Kluyveromyces lactis: one gene and its partners. The protein of the gene in region 5 binds, or shares a complex with, the protein of the main gene of each other region. Links are inferred from orthologs where the notes say so. Each region holds a gene or a part of one and is shown on either strand. Other genes may lie near its edges. The genes, in order: RPD3, YNG2, ESA1, EAF7, EAF3, EAF6 and EAF1.

Region 1 (3,284 bases), about 1.0 Mb from region 5:
CCAAACTCCAAAACTGAGGTCACTAATATCGCATAATGTTCCATTGCAGACAGTATCTGTTCAATCGGCTGGTTTGACTCCAATGGATATACGATCAATCGTCAAAGCTGTCAAGTACAAATGTTACCAACGTCTAAAGCAGAACGACCTTCTAATTGATATGACCGATATAACTGCAGTCATAAATATTGCAAGAGATAGATTCTCAGACTCTATCGGAGCTCCTAAAATTCCTAACGTGACTTGGGATGATATTGGTGGGATGGATGTGGTCAAAGGAGAAATCATGGATACCATAGATATGCCACTCAAGCACCCTGAACTATTTTCATCTGGTATGAAAAAGAGAAGTGGTATTCTTTTCTATGGACCTCCTGGGACTGGTAAAACCTTGTTAGCGAAGGCAATTGCGTCTAACTTCTCTTTAAATTTTTTCAGTGTTAAAGGGCCTGAACTTCTTAACATGTACATTGGTGAATCCGAGGCAAATGTTAGACGTGTCTTCCAGAAAGCAAGAGATGCTAAGCCATGTGTCATTTTTTTCGATGAACTTGATTCCGTGGCACCAAAGAGAGGAAATCAGGGAGATTCTGGGGGTGTTATGGATCGTATTGTGTCTCAACTTTTGGCAGAACTAGACGGAATGAGTTCAGGAGGAGACGGAGTGTTCGTAATTGGAGCTACGAATAGGCCAGATCTTCTTGATGAAGCATTATTACGTCCCGGTAGGTTTGACAAGATGTTATATTTGGGGATATCAGATACCGATAAAAAACAGGCAAATATCATCAAGGCTTTGACGAGAAAGTTCACACTAGAATCTGGTATCGATATACTAGATATTGCCAAAAAATGTCCGTTCAACTATACAGGTGCAGATTTCTACGCATTGTGTTCTGATGCCCTTTTAAACGCTATGACTAGAGTTGCTGGTGAAGTTGATGAAAAGTGGGAGAAGTATAACATGGAAAATAAAAAGAATATATCATTGAGGTATTGGTTTGATAACGTGGCAAACGAGAATGACTTGAAGGTCGTGGTAAAATTACAAGACTTCGAGCTTGCTCAACAGAATCTAATACCAAGTGTTTCTGAGGATGAATTAAGACATTACTTGAGATTAAAGAGTAGTTTCGAATCTCAATGATCGTTAATAAGTAATCATATCGAATATTATTATAAATCATATATAACAAATATATTAACTCATCCATGCAGGATGATCTGGTCAGTAAAAAGTTGGTCTACTTCTTAATCTTCTTCAACTCGTGTAACATGACAGATCTCTTTAAGGCTTTTCTTCTTTCTTTAGCTGCTTGGAAATTCTATATTGATGGAGACGGTGAAAAATGAAGGTAGTGATTTCTATTAAAACCTTGATTTATGTCGAAAACATACCAAGAAAGCTATATAAACAAGAGGTGAAAAATTTGTACCGGCTCTCCAACTTAGCGAAACTATTAAGATTAATTGTGCGTGGACGGTATGGTATACGAAGCTAAACCTTTTGACCCGATAACGGTGAAGGCTAACGAGAAGAAGCGAGTTGCATACTTTTATGATGCTGATGTGGGAAACTATGCTTATGGTGCAGGACATCCTATGAAACCACATAGAATAAGAATGACACATTCGTTGATTATGAATTACGGTTTGTATAAGAAGATGGAAATTTACAGGGCTAAACCTGCAACGAAACAGGAGATGTGTCAGTTCCATACCGATGAATATATTGATTTCTTGTCTCGAGTCACTCCAGATAATTTAGATATGTTCCAAAAGGAGAGTGTGAAATTCAACGTTGGAGACGATTGTCCTGTGTTTGATGGTTTGTACGAGTACTGTAGTATATCTGGAGGTGGTTCTATGGAGGGTGCAGCCAGATTAAACCGAGGCAAATGTGATGTTGCCATTAACTATGCTGGTGGTTTACATCATGCCAAAAAATCGGAAGCTTCAGGGTTCTGTTACTTGAACGATATAGTGCTAGGTATCATCGAGTTGTTAAGGTACCATCCTCGTGTTCTTTATATTGATATTGATGTGCATCACGGTGATGGTGTAGAAGAAGCTTTTTATACTACGGATCGAGTTATGACATGTTCTTTCCATAAATATGGGGAATTCTTCCCAGGTACTGGTGAATTGAGAGATACTGGTGTCGGGAAAGGTAAATACTATGCTGTGAATGTCCCATTAAGGGACGGTATTGACGATGCCACTTACAAATCGGTATTTGAACCAGTCATAGGTAAAATTATGGAATGGTACCAACCTTCTGCCGTGGTACTCCAATGCGGTGGTGACTCTTTATCCGGCGATCGTTTAGGTTGTTTCAACCTTTCAATGAAGGGTCACGCAAACTGTGTCAACTACATGAAATCGTTCGGTGTTCCTCTCATGATTGTTGGTGGTGGTGGTTATACAATGCGAAACGTGGCTCGTACATGGGCTTTCGAAACGGGTATTCTGAATAATGTGATTTTGGATGAAGAACTTCCTTACAACGATTACTACGAATATTATGGCCCTGATTACAAATTGGATGTCAGACCATCTAATATGTATAACGTCAATACACCGGAGTATTTGGATAAAGTGCTACTTAATATTTTCAGCAATCTAGAGCATACTAAATATGCCCCAAGCGTTCAACTCAATCACGTTCCTCGCGATGCGGAGGACAAAGGTGACGCCGAAGAAGATACTGCAGCTGCGAAGGACACTAGAGGAGGTTCTCAGTATGCAAGAGACATAACCATTGAGAATGCAACCGAATTTTAGCCAGAAAACAAAAACAGATGATCTTTTATTATTTACTGTATTATAATATATTTACACTTAGAAGTACTCTTCCGCATTTGCTACAGGTTTTATCGTCACTCACCTAATCACTGTTATATGTCATTCATCCGACGGTTAATATGATGCTGAATATACAGATTGGTGCCCAAGTTAGAATTGATCTAATGAGGTCAATTTTCTATCGTGTTTTCCCTCCGTCAGTATCGGTATTTGCCATAATTTTCCACGTAATACTATTCCAGTTCAGATATGACTTACATCTGCACTTCGGTTGTCAGTAACAAATCTATATATGAAAAAGATCAAAAAATGAAAATCCAGAAGCGAATGGATATTTAAAAGTTAAGATCAGATAGGTCGATTACACAAGAATAAAGCTTATCCTATTTCATATAGAGATATATATTATCTGATAGTAGATACGTTGTATCTAAACATTCAAATCACAGTTAGTAAATTTTGCAATGGCTGTTAAAGGT
Region 2 (2,722 bases), on a different chromosome or scaffold from region 5:
CGGTTCTCTAACACTGCTTCCAAAATCCTCATCCAAAGTGTGATAACTACCTTGCTCATCTGGATGCAACCCTCGCCTCAACCCACGATGTCTGCGTTTCCTTAAATACTTCCGTAATAACGGATTCTTCTTGTCTCTGCTCACTAAATCGAACCCTAGCGAAATGCGTCTATGGTTAGTTGCAATACCAATACCATTTGTTCGAAGCTTCGGATGAACCTGAGACAACGTCTTTCCAAATAGTGTAGCCATGTTGCCTATTGGTGCGCTTTCAGAGACCACTATTTCGATAGCTTTCGCCTGTTTTTCTGCATCTCTTCACAAAGAGCACAAGATGTCAAAGTCGAATATAGAATAAGAATCGAATAAATGCTAATTATAATAATACATTACATGATAGAATTGAAAATATTTACATATGAGGATATATATATATATATACGAGCGGCAGGAGTGAAGAAATGTGAAGACCATGAATGGGTCATACCAACCTTCGTTGATCATTGCTTCTTCTTCTTCTTATTTAGTTTCTGATTAGCAATTTCCAGTCGACATTCTGGACAATACCACTGACCCTTTGGAGGTTCCGTTAAGTTGACACAACTGTAATGGAACCATTCGTATTTACAGTTTGGACCATCGCACGCCACCATCTCACCGTATGATACTCTTTGGCAGAAACAGTACAACTGCTTGTCGTCTTCTTCGCCGCCTTGGTTCATCTTGAACAAATCATCGTTATATGCCAAAGCATCGAAAGTCGGATCTCTACCGATACCAGCGTTAGGACTCACGTCACGAGACACTGTTCCTGCACGCTGATGAGACCTAGATCTCTCTTTCTTCTGCTGTTTTCTCTTCTGTCCTTTCCCGTTCGCTGATGATGAAGAGGCTGGCCGTTTCCTACCAGAACTGGAACCTGATCCAGCCGTTCCGTTACCAAGGCCAGCGATTCCAGCTCCTAAATCAACAGATCCAGCCTTCTTATCCGAAAGCTCATCATCCAAGGGTGCAAGTAACCCATCTTCCTCAAGTGACTCGATGTTGGCCTTGATCTTGCTCAAATGTTTCGTTACTAGATACAATGCTGTATTGGCTAATATGCATTTCTGTTGTTGCAAATCGCCGCATCGCTTCATCTCTTTTTCTACCGTCTCAGTAATGGATCCCTCTTTAGGGTCCTTGGTCAACGAACCATGCTGTTTCACAAGTTTATGAAGCACGTAATCCTCCCGTAGGTACTGCTCTCTTGAGCTCACCAGGGTTTTATCTGCTACCTGCATTTCATCCATGATATGATGGAACTCTGATTTCAAGTTCGCAACATCCTGTGTAGCTTGCTCCAACGCACTCGAAGGGTCCTGTGGTCGTTCGTTAATGCTACTCATTCTTCCATACAGCCTTCCAAAATGCTAACTGCGCCTGCCTAGCGTTCTTTGTACAGCTTCTTCTCTTACATACGTATCTTTGCTATTTCAATGGAAAATTGTTTGCCAGATTGCTTTAAAGCTTTCCCTGGCTTTAAAGGCTTTGAAATAGAAAAAGTCATGATAAAGGGACATGGTTTGGTACTTCACAAACATGTTTCCATTAGTTTTTGGGAGTATTTATTATTCAGAAAAGCTAGTCCTGGCATATGAGCTTATTTGAACTCTGTTAAAGACCGAATTTACCACGATTATAGGCGACGACAGTTTCTTTTGTTAACTTTACCTTGAATCTAAACCATGGTGTTCTATTCATTTATTCTACGCAAGATTTCCAACAAGATATTTGGCGACATTAAGATTGGTGAGGGTGAGGATCCGTACTATGAGGAAGTTACTTTTGTGAAGAAGTCGTTTTGGACTGGAAATAGCCAAGTTGTGCATAAGAAGCTAAAGAAAGCAATTCCAGATTATGTCCCATTAAATGACAGAACAGTGTTGCAACGGGTTAGGAAAAGAGCTTACAGGCTTGATATGATGTTTAAGATATTTGGGATGAGAGTTGGATGGCTCGGTATCATTGGACTTTTGCCAGTGGTCGGTGACCTAATATGTTTGTACTTGTCATGGACAGTGTTCCATGAAGCACAGAAGATTCAAGGTGGTTTGCCTGTGCCCTTGCAGGCAGAGCTCTTGGGGAACATCTGTATCGATTTCCTATTAGGGTTGATTCCCATTGTTGGTGATATCGTTGGGATTGCTTATAAGGCAAATTCCAGGAACACACTTGCATTGGAACAATACTTGAGAAAGAAATACGGTGGTGAAACCATTGCCGCATCTCCTGTAGAATTAGGTTCTGTCTCCCCAGGAAGGGACCCAGACTTGGTAAAAGGCTTGAAACAGACATAAGCGAGAAGCCGTTTGTGCTAATGTACAATTATTATCCTGTTAAGAAAAGTTATATATATATATACATACTCATACCGCTATGTATAATGCTAAATCCCAGTTTTATATTATCCTAGAACACACCCGGTAGCTTCTCAATCACATAGGAGTGTCCTCCAACACTCATCAATGGGATCCCCGGCACTTTCCTCACTCTCTGCTTTAAACCAGCATCGTTCGTGGCAACAATGTAACACTTGTGCTGCAACACTCTATGAACAATACAGTCATCCGCATAAGTACCCTTATGCGAACAACTTAGCCTCTTGATTCGCGGATCACGAGCTAGCTTCAACGCTATACGATACTTGGGACCCAACTTCTCTAATTCAGCCATCACACAG
Region 3 (2,969 bases), on a different chromosome or scaffold from region 5:
TGTTCCAAGACAGGTATCTATATTTCGGCTGCATTGCATTCATTAATAAAGTTAAAACCACAGCTAGTTTGAGATGGCATTCACCTATGTTGGATGATATAAGCGGGGTGAAACGGTGGTCAAAAGTTGCTGAAGGCATGGTAAAAATGTATAAGGCAGAGGTTCTACAAAAATTACCAATCATGCAGCATTTCTATTTCGGATATTTCTTGAAATGTCCCGAGGGCGTTAGTGAACCATCAGCACGCGCACAAGATCATCATGAAGATGATTCATGCTGTACTGATGGATCGCATGGTCATAGTACTTGGGCGGATTGTTGCGGTATTGCAGTCCCTAGTGCGATTGCGGCATCTCAAATGGCTAATAAAGACGTAAGACTATTTCCTTTTGATTGAATAATATTACATATGATGCGTATACCGAAACTTAACTACCCTTATATATACCAACATAACGTTAACAAACAATAACATAGACCGCAATTCACGATGCATTATTTACCATGCGAAACGTAATTGTGAAGCGGTAAATACTGGGGGTGTCCAGATTAATTTTTGAGGATCTATAGATCTCCTCTTATTATTCTTTAGCTTTTTGTACCTTTTCATCACATCGCTATTCAAATACAGTACATGCTGACCTCGATAGAACCTTAATATTTCTAAGGCTTTTGCAGTATGAAGAATATCAGTGGTAGTCATAGAGGAAATTGAACTAACTTCATCGATGGTGATTTCCTGGCCGTGCTCTACCAAAAGCTTAATCAAGGTGTCGGCCCAGTATGCTCTGTAAGATAACAAACCCAAATCCGATAACGGCTTTTCTGGTGATCCGACTTTACCCTCTTTCTTAGATAACTCATAAGAAAACTCGATTAATAGTCTACCGTAACCCATTCTTTGATATTGAGGTAGTGTTAAAATACATGCCACATTATAAGCATCAGCTGATTCCTTTTCCTTTGAGAAATAACCGACAATATGATGGCCTAGTTCATCACGCCTAGTCATACAGTAAAATAAAAATGGATCAACATCATAGTACAACGTTTTATGATCCAAGAAAAGTTTAGACAAAAGACATAGATTACGGCACCATGTCCTCTGTTTCCGACCATCAATTTCAAAGAAGGAAACATAGTCATCTCTATATATCTCGTTACCTGGAGGATGTCGTAGAGTACATTTCTTTCTGTATCGTTCATATTGTTTCTTTGATCCGAAATATTGTAGGGAAAAATCATCGATATATACCACATCCTCATCAGTCAACTCTATTGGATAAGGTGAAAAGTACCATGGCTCTATTTCATATTTGCCCATAATCACCTTGTTCAAATTTCTAACTCTAGCCACCTCATTCTGATTCTGTGTCATTGACCCCGATGTACGAAGCTTCTTTATTTCATCTTCTCTGGAAATATCTTCATTAGGAATCCCTTGTACATTCAAATTATCCAAATCCATCACATCCCCACCATCCGGAGTAGCACTGGCTGCTTGTGGTGTAGCACTTTTATTCTGTTGCTGCTTCTTTTTCTTCGAGTCTTTCTTCTCTTCAAGCTCTTTAGGCCTAGGAAAAATGACTTCCTTGTCTATCTGTAACCTATCAGCAGTGATCCATTCATCTAGACGTTTATTGAAGTCTTCATAATGCACGTAGAACTTAGGTGGATCTCTTCTGCTGTTAATGGATAGAATTTCAGCAAGACGATCTTGACCATCTTTTAGTACCCATGACTTGCATCCAACGAAAATCTCATCGATGCTGTCAACCTTCTGGGGAATCCCAGGTTCCTTTTCTTCGCCGTGACTCATGTATTAGCGAGCTCGCCCAAAATATTTGTTAAACAGTTGCCTTGCCTTACTAGTTCCTCTTACAGAGGTGCTCTGTTTTTGGATTTGGTTTATTGCGTAACTAATAAGTTCAAATATTTTGAAGATGCTAAATTTCAGTTAATTTATTCAGATTACCGTATTAAAGCAAACACCATGCTTGAACAAACATACAAGAAAACCTGACGTTCCCTGTCCTTGACTACGTGACTGTAATCATATGACAGTTAGAGCAAACCTCGCAATTAATGCAGACTGAAATATTCTAGATAGATGGAAAACGGGGACCTAATAGAGTTAAACTACAAACTTCTACATAAGTCGCTGCAAGTAGACACCAGCTAGATTAGAATCTTTGAGATATTAACGTGGGATTCCACGGCAAGCCAGGGAATGTATCTTCTGTAGCATCAGGGACTTGCTTCCATATTTTGATGCTTTTGTCTCCTTCCCCTGTGATGAGTCTTGTTCCTGTGACATCAAAGGTGCTGCATAAAATCGATCGCTCACTTTCAAGTGAGCCAGCAACTTCAGTTGTCATCATACTTTGGTATTTGTGTCCTGTTTTGTAATCGTAAAAGCACAAAGTACCGTCATCTCCACCAGCTAATAGTACATTATCGTGATTAATTGATACGGTATTCAAAATCCCAGTGTTCTGGGATTGAAAGTTGGTTAATAGCTGTCCTTCGGGCAATTTCCAGGATCTGACGTCGTTCGTAGATACACTGGCAAAGCTAAACTCTGCTGGGTGTAGCGTCAAGTCTCTGATGTTTCTACTATGGTGCGTTAAAACTTTGCTTGCCTTCCCTGCAATGATATCCCAAAGTCTAACTGTTGCATCCCCGGAACAACTGATTATTTGTGGGTCAACGGGAAGGCATTTGACTTTATTTATAGGGCTTTTATGACCGGGCAGAACCATTATCTCAGATCTTGATCGTATATCCCACAACCTTACTACAGCATCACGACCAGCAGTAGCTATTATATCAAGGCTCGGATGAACATCAACGGTATGCACGCCAGATAAATGACCGTGAAAATCCCTAATTGCAGTATTTCTTTCTAGATCCCAACATTTTACAAGTTTATCTTCGCTTGCTGAGAACATATAAGGATGTCTCTTTG
Region 4 (2,851 bases), on a different chromosome or scaffold from region 5:
TAGAGGTTCTCCATTCCAATGTAACATTGGTGTAGGTCAAGTTATCAAGGGTTGGGATGCTGCTATTCCAAAGTTGTCCGTTGGTGAAAAGGCAAGACTAACTATCCCAGGCCCATACGCTTATGGTCCACGTGGTTTCCCAGGTTTGATCCCACCAAATGCTACTTTAGTCTTTGATGTTGAATTGTTGAAGATTAACTAGATGTATAATGTCATTCTTCTGAATAAAACACATACTATTAATTTCCTTCACATTTTTTCTTTGGTTTCTCCCTTGATTCCTTCCAATTGGTCCCATCCATTATTATTATTATAGCTTTACATCTTTCCGTACCTTCTCATCAACCTTTCAACATGGGAATTGCTATCAAATTGTAGCCGTAGTGTTTGTATGCTTCCATTTTAACATTCAATTTTTGTACATCAACGAAATGCCTATAATATAAACCATTAGCTATATTATGTTGTTATTGCATTATTGAAAAAACAATCAAGAACAACTACTTCCTGCTTCTAAGCCTGCTCGAGAGCCTTGTAGTTGGTTTTGTTATGGATTTTCTTCTTGTTCTCCTAGCTGGAGAATCCACGTCGGCAAGATCTTCAGGAACTTCCTCCGCAGCGGCAACTTTTTGTTTCTTAGGGCGCGGCTGTTGAGATGATTCCGTTTCGTTCTCTTCTGCTTTCCCTGTCGGCGAATTAGCTGATTCCTTGGCAGCACCTTCAGATTCATCAGCAAATGTGACTTGTTTTGTAGCTGTAGTATCTGCGGCATCAGCAGTCGATTCTTTTTCGCTACCAGATCTCCCTTCTGTATCGTGTTCGACATCTTCCTTTTCATCGGTGTTTCCGCCATGGGGTTGGTCTTCTTTGTTTTCACTTTCGTCATCAATGCCTCGCTTTTGTGAACGTGTCAACCTTGTAGAGCGTCTTGTCCTTGGTTTCTTATGAGCATCGACAGGTTCATCGACAGGTTCATTCGCCAGTTCGCTCACAGATTCTCCAACACTGACTGGCGGAGTGGTCGCCATTTCTTGTTTCGCCTGTACATTATTTTGCTCAGTATCCTTTTCATCGATATCCTTTTCTCGTTCCCGTGGCTCTTCTGACTCTTGTTCTACTTGCGTATCCTGTGATTCCGCACCCTTCAGTTTTGCCTTGTCATCCGCAGAAGCGGTCTCCTCTTGCTTAATATCTTCCACCTCATGATCCCTAGCATGTTCTAACATAAGTTCTCCATAATCTTCCCACGATAGTTCAAATTCCGTCTCTTGCTGGAGTCTATTTTGTAATGGTATTATATTTCTCTTAAGCTCGTCACAATTGTCAACATCATTGTCACTGTCATCATCATTATCTAGTTGAGCGTCCCCTTCTGTCTTTTTGTTTGTAGTTTCGGTTGGTCCGTCATCATTATAAAATTCAGGGTATGGCTGGTTCTCTACTTCATCTGCCTTCTCTAAATTATAGTACCGACTCAATTGTTCCCAAACGTCCTCCCCAGAAAACACTTTATCTGAGCTGCCTTTATCGCTTTGCAAAAGTTTGATTGGATACTGATCTGGCTTGTTCAATCGCTCAAGCAAACACACCATATGGAAGTGTTTATGTATTCCTGCAGGTTTGAACAGCATCATCCATTTAAACAGCCTTATTTCCTCCACTTTACTCCATGTTTGCCCTCTAGGTGATTCTATCTTTACAGCGGACATCGCAGTGAACCGTATCGTATTACTTTTATCTGAAGTATCACAACCTTATACACCAAAAGAACGTTCTTGCAATTGATATAATAAAGTTCCTATCAAGATCGCTGATAAAGCAGATCGTATGAGGCTTGATACCATCTTCGCCAGTCCATCTCAATATGGTTCTATGGTGTTTCTCATCTTTCTAAACTATGAATGCTAATATTTGATATCATATGTCACGAAATTCCTCTAAAAATTTTTCAATATCGGAAAGCTTCAAGCATTAGATAGCGTTTGATTGAAAAATATTATGCAGGTAGTTCGGATATGCAATGTATTTCCATTTCGAAGAGTCCGTAAGCAGTCAATTCTGGTTAGTTTTGTCAATACATTGTGAAGAAAAAGACCAGCAATGCCTAGGAAAGCTGTACTTCTGAACTCTTTGTCCAGAGGGAAGGTTCGTACCTCTTTTAACAAGTACAATTTGTTCAACTTGTATAAGAAATCTCAGGTCAGTTTTAGATCGAAAACACTATACCAACAGAAATGGACTTCTAAACAGGAAACTCGTGCCTACCATGGCGAACATTTAACAGAGAGTAGGTGGCAGTCTGTTTTCGAGCCTCAGCTAAACTCTGTGGCTCAATTAGATGCTTCTCTAAGGGGTGGTGATATCGAACCGACGCCCATTCTATTACAAACATACGCTGTACTAGAGAAAAGGCTAGACTTTGCTTTGTTTAGAGCTATGTTTGCCTCGTCAGTGAGACAAGCTCGTCAGTTTATTTTACATGGCAACGTCCATGTGAATGGTGTAAAGATTACTTCTCCGGGATATGCCTTGAAAGCTGGTGATGTTTTCAACGTCAGACCCGAAAAAGTGCTACAAGCTCTTGGTGCCAAGAAACCTAGCTTGAAGGAAGCTTTGAAAGTGGATAATACCCAAATTTTCCTATGGAACAAATATATTCTAGAGGCTAGAAAGAATCCTAGAAAGTTCTGGGATGAAAAGATCGAAAAACTAAGAACTATGGATAGTAACGATCCAAAGAAACAGGAATTTTTATCCTTCCTCGAAAACTACAACAAAACCATGCACATTCAAATGAGGAAAGAATTAGACCAAACCAGTAACGAGTATTTGTTAGCTAAGATCTTTTCTA
Region 5 (3,001 bases):
TCCTTCCGAACGAAAGTCCGGTTGCAAACTATCCCATCGTCAGGATAAACATATTCACACCGAAATATCTGCTTCGGCCAGTGGTTAAGCTTATGCCTCTGTAAATGCTCATACCGTGAGAAGGTCTTCTCACAATCTGGATGAGGACAAACGTATCTGCCGCCTACTTTTTCCTCCGACGCTTCCTTACTCTCAGAACCCATCATTTTCTACCACCGTCTGCTGTACAGCGTAAATATATCAATAGATACTGAAGTACACTGCTTACTCCGAGGCTCCGACAGCTGATGATTTAAGGATAACGAACAGTATATTTATGATGTCTTGTGATTGTTATGCTATGATGAGTACGGTCGAATCGAAACTGTTTTTCAGATGTTGATCGCTTATAATCACGGCCCGGAAATAATATTTCTGGGGTCCCCGAAAAAAGGGTTTTGGGGGATATATATATATATAACGGTGTATGTGGTGGGGTCTGGAGATGTGGTAGAGATATATTACATGCTTAGTGCGACCCCCTCGTATTGGGAGGACGTGTTTATGTAGGGATCTACTGGGAAGTTTTTCCTCGCGATGTTTATGGCGATCCATTCGAGTAAAATGTCGCACTGTTTCACTAGGATCTTGGCAGTTTGGTCATCGACGTTGCTTGATTCCATCATTTCGGGGAGTAAAGTGACTAGTCTTAGTAGATGGATAATTCCGTAAATTTCAGTGTACTGTTTCTCCGAGTGTGCTTTCAGTAGTTCTGCATATTGGATTCTTTCTAGACGGTACAAGAGTAATTTCCCCAGGGATAAGTTGAAGTAGAGTTTTATTCCCTGCAGAAATTCTGAGAGTTGAGCTTGTTCTACCACTGAGGAGGTCGAATTGCTAGTATCTGCATAGAACTGGGACAAGATATGTTCGATTGGCCGTTCGCTGGGTAGTTGTACTAGCTTTCTGTCTTTTGTGACGTTTTCCCAGTCGTCTACAAGCACAGAACGAAGCGAGATAGGGACTTTTATGTGTATCTTAGGGTGTGATCTTTTGTTTAGTACTGGGGTTGCCTTCTTACGGTCGGATTTGTCAGAGCTGGAAGCTGCTGCTGTTGTACCAGAAGATGAAGATGAGGCTGGATTAGAAGCGGAAGTCGAACTTGCCGAAGTATTAGTACCACTGCCACTATTTGAGGTACGGCTGGCCGCCTTTTTGCCCTTCTCAACCTTACTAGGCCTGCCAACAGGCCGTGATCCTGATTTCTTCTTCCCACCATTGTTCTTCAACTCTCGAGCCTTTTCCACCAACGACTTCTTCAATTCCAAATTCTCATCGTTATACGGTCTGATTCGGTCTAAACCAACCCATTCGTCCCAACTCGACTTCCAGCCCTGGTAATGCACAAAATAGCATTGGCCCTGTCTCATATGTTCCGGCGGACGATCAAATTCTACTTTTTCATCGTCAATACTCACGTCTTTGTAGTCCTTTGATGTAATAGTCTGATTCTTTTCATCGTAAACTCGTAATACTTTGGCTTCATAGAGCAAAGGTCCGTGATAACACAAACATTTCCCATCTAGAACAATTGCCATGATCAACAGCTACTGAAAGTTCCCCTGGGACAATTAAATTTTGGAGAAAGACCAGCGTAGCAGGTTCAAATACTATGTGTAACTTCTGTTTCGTGAAAGTGCTAGATGGTAGCTTTAACGTAAGATTTGGCATTTGAATTTTACGTGAAGAAACATGGGAAAACGGACAGTATAGAAACAGTAGATAACACTAGGTGAGCACTTGATAGTAATGGTATATAAACCGCAGCTACTTGGAAGGAATGCAGTACTTTCCAAGAAGAAGGAAGTGGGAAATTCTGATCACGTGACAACTCACGTGATATGATATGACATTGGAAGTGACCTGATATCTCCAAGTATTGCCTCAAAGCACTAGAGTCAAACTAGTATCAATTCATAAAGTCTTGGCCACCCTTCAACACCAATTCCAGCACCACAACGCCACTAATCACGTCGCATATCCACCTCTTACCATCACACAAGGTCTGCAAAGCTCTCCTAATAATGCTGTTCTGACCTTTAATGCCAAAGTAAAGAAAAAAAAAAGTTGATGAAACAAAAACAAATTTGAAAGAAACAGCCTTTTATCACAGTGACCAAAGAAGCAAACCACAACGGTTCTGACTGGCAAGGACGATCTTTTACACGCGGACAAACATCTGTATTGGTATTCTGAGTCGATGAGACGTTATTTGAGTGGTGGCTACTGAACTATTTTATTCGAAGCAAGAGAGAAAGGAAAGGTTTCCCACATTTCCTAGTATTGTATTTTTTTGTTTCCCGATAGGACTTGATAAAACCCAGAGTCGGTGCTTTTGCAATGTCTAAACGTTCGTCCCAGCATGTGGTAGGAATTCACTATGCTGTTGGTCCTAAGATTGGGGAAGGTTCGTTTGGAATAATCTTTGAAGGTGAAAACATTCTAAATGGTGGGTCGAAGAACCCTGTTGCTATAAAGTTTGAACCCAGACGGTCTGACTCACCACAGTTACGGGATGAGTTTCGCGCATATAGGATATTGAATGATGTGAGAGGAATTCCTCATGCGTATTATTTCAGTCAAGAGGGGATTCATAACATTTTGATCATCGATTTGTTGGGTCCGTCGTTAGAAGATTTATTTGAATGGTGTAGTCGAAAATTTTCCGTAAAGACGACAGCAATGTTGGCGAAACAGATGATTGATAGAGTACGTTCTATTCACGAGCATGATTTGATATATCGGGACATTAAGCCGGATAACTTTTTGATATCTGAGTTTCAACGGGAGTTATCGGATGGGTCAGTGGTTAAGTCGTGTGCCACAAGCAGTGGTGGTGACGCAAACCTAATATACGTGGTTGATTTCGGAATGGCAAAGCAGTTTAGGGACCCAAACACAAAACAACATATACCATATAGAGAGCGTAAATCTTTGAGCGGGACTGCGCGGTACATGTCGA
Region 6 (2,172 bases), about 620 kb from region 5:
TGGCAGTTTCTGAAAATTGATTGGCTGAGTGATACTCCAATTAACAATCAAGAATGGAGGTTAGAATTCATGCTAACCACACATACATACACCATTACATAGCACCTGAGTCTCATCTAAGACATTGGGACAATTCGGTTGGACTGGAAATCTGTAAACGATTCAATCCTTTGCTTCTACGAGTAGTTTGACGCAAGTTTTATTGATTAAACTGATTCTATGATCGTTGATCTGACGGATGAAAAGAAAAAGAGGCCTCTCAAAAATTAAGGGTAAGTAATTGAAAATACTTTAGGAAGAGAGAATACATAATGTTACAAAGTGATTAATTATCACGAGCATTTAAAGAGTGCTTCAAGAGAAATAGATGCGGGGTAAAATAATACCGTTTTTCTTCCCCCTCCCTTAGTTTCTCTTGTCTCTTGTCTCTTGTCTCTTGTGTCCGGTGTCCTGGACCTGGATATGTCTCAGTGAAGAGGGCAAACAGATAAGCTTCCTGTTCAATCATTGGACTTCGTTTGTTCTTGATGATTGGAAGCAGCCAATTGTTTTGCAAAAAGGTACGAACTTAATGAAAAAATGCGATCATTATCGTCCAATGGCTGGGCATTTGACGAATGTGAGTGGTCAGACAATATCTGCTGCGCAGAACTGCTCTTGTTGAAACCCTGAAACCCGAGCAGAATGTTCCCCATTCTGGAAGATGGTTTCTGTGATAGATACTCTGTTTCTTTATCGTATACCTCTTGCTCTAAACTATTCCACTTGGCTTCGAGTTGTTTCTTCTGTACTAAAGCATCTCGAAGCTTCTTCTTTAGTTTCTCGTATTCTTTCTTTTGTTCGTCCATAGTTGTGTGAGATGAGTGTTAGGTTATGTTAAATCACTTTACCGATAGAGTAGAACACAATCAAAACCAGATTCAAATCCGTTCGATAGCGGATCGTCTGTTTCATCCTTTCTTGTTATTATATATGCAAATTGGATGTTGAAGTAGTGCGTTCTTTCAAACAATATTAACATTGGCGACGAGTCCGGGTAACAGTACTGGAACTCAGTTTGGAATTTGAAATTCGAAGAACCGACGAAAAAAAAGCCAACATGTAAACATCAACATAAACAGTGTTATCAACTCTAGTATCCCGTTTAAGAGCCATAATTTTCCATTGATAGCAGTTATAATCGGCAAAAACAGGTAGCTGTTGAAGAAGTTAATCCTTATCTGCTTTTGAAAATTGAAGATCTTCTCTTTGTTCTGGTGCATATAGAGTGATTACGTTATATCTATTGCAAGTTCAAGATGCCGACCATGAAGAGTGTGGTGATACAGATCTCGCAGACTAGGGTTATTTGTGGGTTCAGCAACCAAGATTTGCCGCAGTTAATTGTACCATCTCAATATTTGGCCTATAAAAGAGATGGATCGGATGTTAAAGTTTTCGGTAAATGGGAAATGATAGAGCATTGCGACGATGAGAGCGCTGAAATATACCAATTGTACGATAAGAACGGACTTCCAAATGATTGGGATATGATGGATGCTCAATGGCAGTACATCTTTCAAAGCCTAGGCATACAGTTCGAAGACTATCCAGTATGTGTTGTCTTACCTTCCGACTTAAACAGTGCGCGTCGTAAGAGATTTATGGAACAACTGTTGGGGTACGGTTTTCCAATGGTCCAACTTTTGAATGAGGCTGTCTGCAACACGTTGAGTCAGGGAAGATCGAGTGGAATTGTGGTGGACATTGGCCACAGTGGAGTGAAAGTGGACGTTGTCATTGATGGTGTTCTTTTCAAACAATACCGCAAGGAGAACAAGATCGGTGGTGCATTCTTAAACTGGCAGATCTGCGATCAATATTTGAAGCAGGATTCGGGCAAATCAACGAAAATCTGGAGGGATGCCACTGAATGGCTACCCAACTTCAAGAATAGCATGCTGCAAGTTTCTCCGATTGAATTGGATGCTAATTATGACGTGGCTCCTCATTACCAACATATGGTGTCACCAATGGACTTGACCAAAAATTTCCTACTCGATAAGAAAACTCTCACCTTCACTAACAAACAGCTATACACCATTGGAGAACTCTTGTTCAAGCCAGTGATACACGTAAGTAACAATGCAAACGGAGATGTAGAAATGGCAGATGTCAATGACATAGAGAAAA
Region 7 (4,158 bases), about 720 kb from region 5:
CAATGATTTCACGTTTATTAGCCGGTTTCGTATTTCTCTGTGTGGGAGTTTGAGTTGTAACCTTTTCTTTTTCACCTAGTGGTGGTGCACTCTGGGGAGTGGACTGCTTAGACCTAATTCTTGAATCCTTTGAGTTAGGATTATTTGCCATAGGCAAATTCGGACTTGATGCTGTAGTGAGAGGAAGCTTTCCTTGCTGCAATTGAGCCATCTGCATCCTTTGTTTGGCAGCACGTTTTATTTGCATATCCCTTCTCAAGGCCTCATCACGCTGAGCTTTTAAGTCTGACATTTCTTGAGGGGTTGGAACACTCATATTCTTAACATCAAAAGGTTTACGCGGCTGCGAAGGATTTGGTCTGGGTGCGTTTTCTCTTTTTTTAATGCACTTTCTCATTGCCTCAAACATACTTGCCCAGCGTAAACGCCTATGTCCTCGTTGTATGGATTCCGATCCCACACCAAGGGGAGATATTCTCCTTTTTTGCTGCTGCTGTAATTTATGAGCTTCGTACAACCATATTTGTGCATTATGAGCCTTTGGACCCTTCATATCTGCAATGTTGAACTTTTCGTTTAGTTGAACGAACCGCTCAAAGCATTGCCAAGGGGTTCTACGTTCGATGTTTGAAACATATTCTCTTTTGTGATGATTGGACATCTGAGAACTAATGAGGTCCCAGTTATAGGCATACTGGTTTATATTTTTGACAAGCTCCTGATCATCTTCAGGTAACCAGATGGTGGGTGTACGAAATTTCAAATAGCGTAATGATGGCGCATTAGGAGGGCGAAGATAATGGCTACGTCTATTTCCATAAAACATACCACGTCGTTTTGATAAAGGAACTAGAGATGGTTCTTCGTCAACAAATTGCTTTTCTACTAATTTCATGAAATGGTCCTCGTCAAGAGGAGAAATTGCCTTTGAAACCGGTTCAAAGGGCAATGGTCTGCTAGAATCGAGATTCTTTTCGTCCAAAAGACCATACAAAGGGAGTGAGTTTGAAATGGCTGCTCCCAGTGTTGATAATTCCTTTATATCAATGTAATTCCTGAAGGGAGAGGATGATTTCTTAGCTAAATAAACTTCCATGGAGGTAACCGGAAGAGATGGAGCGACGATTTCATCTTTGGGGTTAACTCTCTTTAGTAACTTTTGTATGTCTATGGTAGGCTCTTCAGATGAGTTTTTATCAGTTTCCTTGTCCCCCTCTTTGATACCATTTTCAGACTTCTCTTCCACCGCTTCACTCCCATCAGTTAAACCGGTACTTGATTTTACACCATCCTCTGACATCTCCACATCTTCAGCAATTTTAGAAGACCCATCATCGTTGGATTGATCAGGACTTGTGTTTGATTCTTTATCTTTTTGTTCTGGCTCAACTGTACTGATTTTTGTTCCCATATCTTGGGAGGAAGCAATATCTTCTATGTCCTTTGATGGCGGTGGAATACTTTTACAATTGATACAGCATACTTTACCATAAGTCCAAAATTCCATAACTGCCTGTGCCATTTGAGTGCACATGGCTATCTTATAATTCAACGATTCACGGAAGTCTTCACGCATCCATTTTGCTTCTTCAATCAACACATTATGATGAGTTACAGGTTGTGAAGCGGTAACGGGATCGATAAATTTTCTTGGTTGTCTAAGTGACCAGAGATTCAGCCTTCTCAATTCCTCTATCCTTGATGCTACTACAGTGATTCGTCTTTCATTCAATGCAGTATTAATCAGATCAGTCGTCAATGCTTTTTGAGATTGTGGTATCAATCTCAGCAAGGGCAAAGTCTGGGATAAGTATTTGATTTCTTGAATGGGCATACCCTTTGCCAACTTGGTTGGCGCGTTCTCTTTCGTAATCATGTATACCGCCTCTTTCACATTTATGTCATCTTCGAAAAACGTCTTACGCTCTTCCTTTGATACATTGTTGATAATAGATTCTATAATATAGGGTTGAGGTTCTTTCACCCCAATTGGTGTTGGGTCAGCATGCAATTGTGAGATGTCTATCATCTGAGAATAAGGATGAGGCGGAATTTCCATTGTTGCAGCGTTACGTGCAGCGGTAGAATTAGATAGGTTTCCACTATCAAGCCGTTGCCTTTTACTTATTTGATTTTCGGAAATATCTTGTTGTTCCTCATCTAACAAACGCTTTCCAGAAGTACTTGGCTTTGATTGGGTCTCCGGATATTGGACAGATTTCGGTTCCATATGTGCCTGAACTACCACAGGAGGAACATTATTATGTGTTATCGGCAGCTTCTGTGTGGGAGACACCGATCGCTGCTTTTGCAGTTGTTGCTGCTGCAGCTGTCGAGATGACTGCGCTTGCACCATAGATTGCCTTGAACTTTGCTGAATTGACTGCTGTGACTGAACTCGTGGAACTACCCTTGTTTGAGACTGCGGGAGTGTCTGCGTATCCACATCATGTTCCTCGCTTCCACTTGGCGACACGTCTTTCGACCGCTGTTTCTTCAATTCTCGTTTCACTTCTGACGGTGAAGAACTCTTACTCCTGTTATTCAGCTTCCTATCTGACGACACGTCTCTCGGCCTAAACTTAGGCAATGCATTAATATCTATAGGCTTGTCCTTGATCAAGGTATGTTGATCTAAAAACTTTTCTATCTCCTTCCCTATTCTCTCATGATTCTCCACGTTTTTTAACTCGGTAATTTGTGAGATACAGTACAATTGTACTAGCAAGTGCCGTCTCTCCTCTAAGAGCTGCTCTGGGCTCTTACTTCCAGTAGCATTCCCTTTGCTTGCACTGCTCATCGCCTTGAAATCCTTACTTTCTATTAGATGTTCTGTGAATATCTGTCACGTTGAAAAAATATAACTTTCGGTCTGAATGGCAAGTGATAGGAAAATATCCAAAAAAAAAAAAAGGAAACTGGGTCCTCTGATTTTTCTTTTAGCGAGGGCTTGTCTCGGAAACAGCACGCTTCTGTACAAACAACAGGATCGTCCAACCAAACAAGGCTTTTCTGTGTCAGGTACTTTTGAAACTGAGTCGAATAGTGTTCTCACGGTCCTGTTCTGTTACCGTATTACGGCTTGTTTTCTCGATTTCTACTATATAAGTACGTATTTCATGTTGTTCAGCAATTTTTTTGTTCCTTGAAAGATTTTTTTTTCTTTTGGGAGGCCGAAATCATGTAAGGAGGGTAACTAAAGATCAGGTCACGTGCGTTAATTGTTGGGTTCCCAGAACGGGATTAATCCACATACCATCATCACCTTCCTCAATGTAACTACTGAACATTTACATCACTCACCAGGTCTTGATGGCCGCATCTAGATCTTCGATGGATTTAATTAGTCCAGCATGGTCCAAAACCATGTACGATGTAATAAGACCCTTTCTCGCCTCGGAATCCACATGGACTTTGGCTAGCTTTTCAAGGAAACGATCTTCTTCATGGAAATAGTCTACTTCGTTTGTTTGTCTTACCTTCTTGCGGACAGCTTGGTTCGATGTTAGATCGTCTTCGTCCATATCAAAATTCACTTCGTACTTCCTTGAAACGATTAGGTAGAAATCATAGTTTTTATCATCCCCAAGCGCAAGCTTCACATCTTCTAATGTGATAGTGTACAATGGCGGCACAACTTCTGGTGGCATATTAATCAATCTTTCACTCAAGACTAACGAACAAGTCTTCTCCGATTGATCTATAGTTTGTAGGAAAGTAGCTAGCTTGGGGTCAACTTTACGAAGATATTTGGCATAATCACTATCTTTGTTGGCCTTGTAATCGATAAATGATAGGAAACAGTATGGGTCAGACTCCTTACCATCGGTTTTGATGGTAGTAGTTGGTGAGTCCAAGATTAAATTTGCCAATTCACTTAGTTGAATTCTGTTCGATTCCTGTGGTCCAAACAACTGACGCATCAGATTCTTCAAAGCATGGAAATCAACGTCGGGATTACCATTGAAGAAATCAAAATCGATGTTGATGATTTCTTGTTCCTCTTGACCGTTTTCTTGGTCTGAAATATTTGAGTCTGTACTTGATATGTCAAGATCAGATTCCTCATCGACTGCACGTTTCTTGGATAATGCACTTAATTTAACAACCTGGACCATTGCAGACTAAAATAGAGTGTTGTTGCTGGTTTAATAAAGC

Evidence for each region.
Region 1: the proteins of EAF3 (region 5) and RPD3 are in contact, whole or in part, in a cryo-EM structure (PDB 7YI3), measured with the Saccharomyces cerevisiae proteins. The link is inferred for Kluyveromyces lactis from reciprocal best matches to the Saccharomyces cerevisiae genes EAF3 and RPD3. Residues at the interface, in NP_015348.1 of Saccharomyces cerevisiae: Leu304, Asp307, Ser392, Gln393, Gly396, Val397, Met401; in NP_014069.1 of Saccharomyces cerevisiae: Arg99, Val102, Lys103, Ser155, Glu156.
Region 2: EAF3 (region 5) and YNG2 share a complex: the UniProt entries of both Saccharomyces cerevisiae proteins name them as parts of the nuA4 histone acetyltransferase complex. The link is inferred for Kluyveromyces lactis from reciprocal best matches to the Saccharomyces cerevisiae genes EAF3 and YNG2.
Region 3: EAF3 (region 5) and ESA1 share a complex: the UniProt entries of both Saccharomyces cerevisiae proteins name them as parts of the nuA4 histone acetyltransferase complex. The link is inferred for Kluyveromyces lactis from reciprocal best matches to the Saccharomyces cerevisiae genes EAF3 and ESA1.
Region 4: EAF3 (region 5) and EAF7 share a complex: the UniProt entries of both Saccharomyces cerevisiae proteins name them as parts of the nuA4 histone acetyltransferase complex. The link is inferred for Kluyveromyces lactis from reciprocal best matches to the Saccharomyces cerevisiae genes EAF3 and EAF7.
Region 6: EAF3 (region 5) and EAF6 share a complex: the UniProt entries of both Saccharomyces cerevisiae proteins name them as parts of the nuA4 histone acetyltransferase complex. The link is inferred for Kluyveromyces lactis from reciprocal best matches to the Saccharomyces cerevisiae genes EAF3 and EAF6.
Region 7: EAF3 (region 5) and EAF1 share a complex: the UniProt entries of both Saccharomyces cerevisiae proteins name them as parts of the nuA4 histone acetyltransferase complex. The link is inferred for Kluyveromyces lactis from reciprocal best matches to the Saccharomyces cerevisiae genes EAF3 and EAF1.

What each region holds. Positions count from the first base shown.
Region 1 is NC_006041.1:185,677-188,960, reverse strand, and holds RPD3 (histone deacetylase RPD3), read left to right. Parts: upstream 1-1,485; coding exon 1,486-2,784; downstream 2,785-3,284. Other genes in the region: PEX6 (AAA family ATPase peroxin 6), read left to right, coding at 1-1,147; lumazine synthase RIB4, read left to right, coding at 3,270-3,284. UniProt on the Saccharomyces cerevisiae protein: Catalytic component of the RPD3 histone deacetylase (HDAC) complexes RPD3C(L) and RPD3C(S) responsible for the deacetylation of lysine residues on the N-terminal part of the core histones (H2A, H2B, H3 and H4).
Region 2 is NC_006037.1:630,072-632,793, forward strand, and holds YNG2 (histone acetyltransferase YNG2), read right to left. Parts: upstream 1,389-2,722; coding exon 501-1,388; downstream 1-500. Other genes in the region: KLLA0_A06952g (uncharacterized protein), read right to left, coding at 1-252; KLLA0_A06996g (DUF4112 domain-containing protein), read left to right, coding at 1,728-2,339; rRNA-processing protein FCF1, read right to left, coding at 2,452-2,722. UniProt on the Saccharomyces cerevisiae protein: Component of the NuA4 histone acetyltransferase complex which is involved in transcriptional activation of selected genes principally by acetylation of nucleosomal histone H4 and H2A. The NuA4 complex is also involved in DNA repair.
Region 3 is NC_006042.1:1,032,524-1,035,492, forward strand, and holds ESA1 (NuA4 histone acetyltransferase complex catalytic subunit ESA1), read right to left. Parts: upstream 1,821-2,969; coding exon 501-1,820; downstream 1-500. Other genes in the region: peptidylprolyl isomerase RRD2, read left to right, coding at 1-398; mRNA splicing protein PRP46, read right to left, coding at 2,185-2,969. UniProt on the Saccharomyces cerevisiae protein: Catalytic component of the NuA4 histone acetyltransferase (HAT), a multiprotein complex involved in epigenetic transcriptional activation of selected genes principally by acetylation of nucleosomal histones H4, H3, H2B, H2A and H2A variant H2A.Z.
Region 4 is NC_006037.1:1,007,818-1,010,668, reverse strand, and holds EAF7 (Eaf7p), read right to left. Parts: upstream 1,710-2,851; coding exon 501-1,709; downstream 1-500. Other genes in the region: peptidylprolyl isomerase FPR1, read left to right, coding at 1-202; NAM9 (mitochondrial 37S ribosomal protein uS4m), read left to right, coding at 2,101-2,851. UniProt on the Saccharomyces cerevisiae protein: Component of the NuA4 histone acetyltransferase complex which is involved in transcriptional activation of selected genes principally by acetylation of nucleosomal histone H4 and H2A. The NuA4 complex is also involved in DNA repair.
Region 5 is NC_006041.1:1,191,102-1,194,102, forward strand, and holds EAF3 (Eaf3p), read right to left. Parts: upstream 1,578-3,001; coding exon 501-1,577; downstream 1-500. Other genes in the region: KLLA0_E13487g (C2H2-type zinc finger protein), read right to left, coding at 1-206; casein kinase YCK3, read left to right, coding at 2,380-3,001. UniProt on the Saccharomyces cerevisiae protein: Component of the NuA4 histone acetyltransferase complex which is involved in transcriptional activation of selected genes principally by acetylation of nucleosomal histone H4 and H2A. The NuA4 complex is also involved in DNA repair.
Region 6 is NC_006041.1:567,752-569,923, reverse strand, and holds EAF6 (Eaf6p), read right to left. Parts: upstream 849-2,172; coding exon 501-848; downstream 1-500. Other genes in the region: ARP7 (Arp7p), read left to right, coding at 1,299-2,172. UniProt on the Saccharomyces cerevisiae protein: Component of the NuA4 histone acetyltransferase complex which is involved in transcriptional activation of selected genes principally by acetylation of nucleosomal histone H4 and H2A. The NuA4 complex is also involved in DNA repair.
Region 7 is NC_006041.1:1,912,891-1,917,048, reverse strand, and holds the start of EAF1 (Eaf1p), read right to left. Parts: upstream 2,801-4,158; coding exon 1-2,800. Other genes in the region: protein-transporting protein BCP1, read right to left, coding at 3,300-4,118. UniProt on the Saccharomyces cerevisiae protein: Component of the NuA4 histone acetyltransferase complex which is involved in transcriptional activation of selected genes principally by acetylation of nucleosomal histone H4 and H2A. The NuA4 complex is also involved in DNA repair.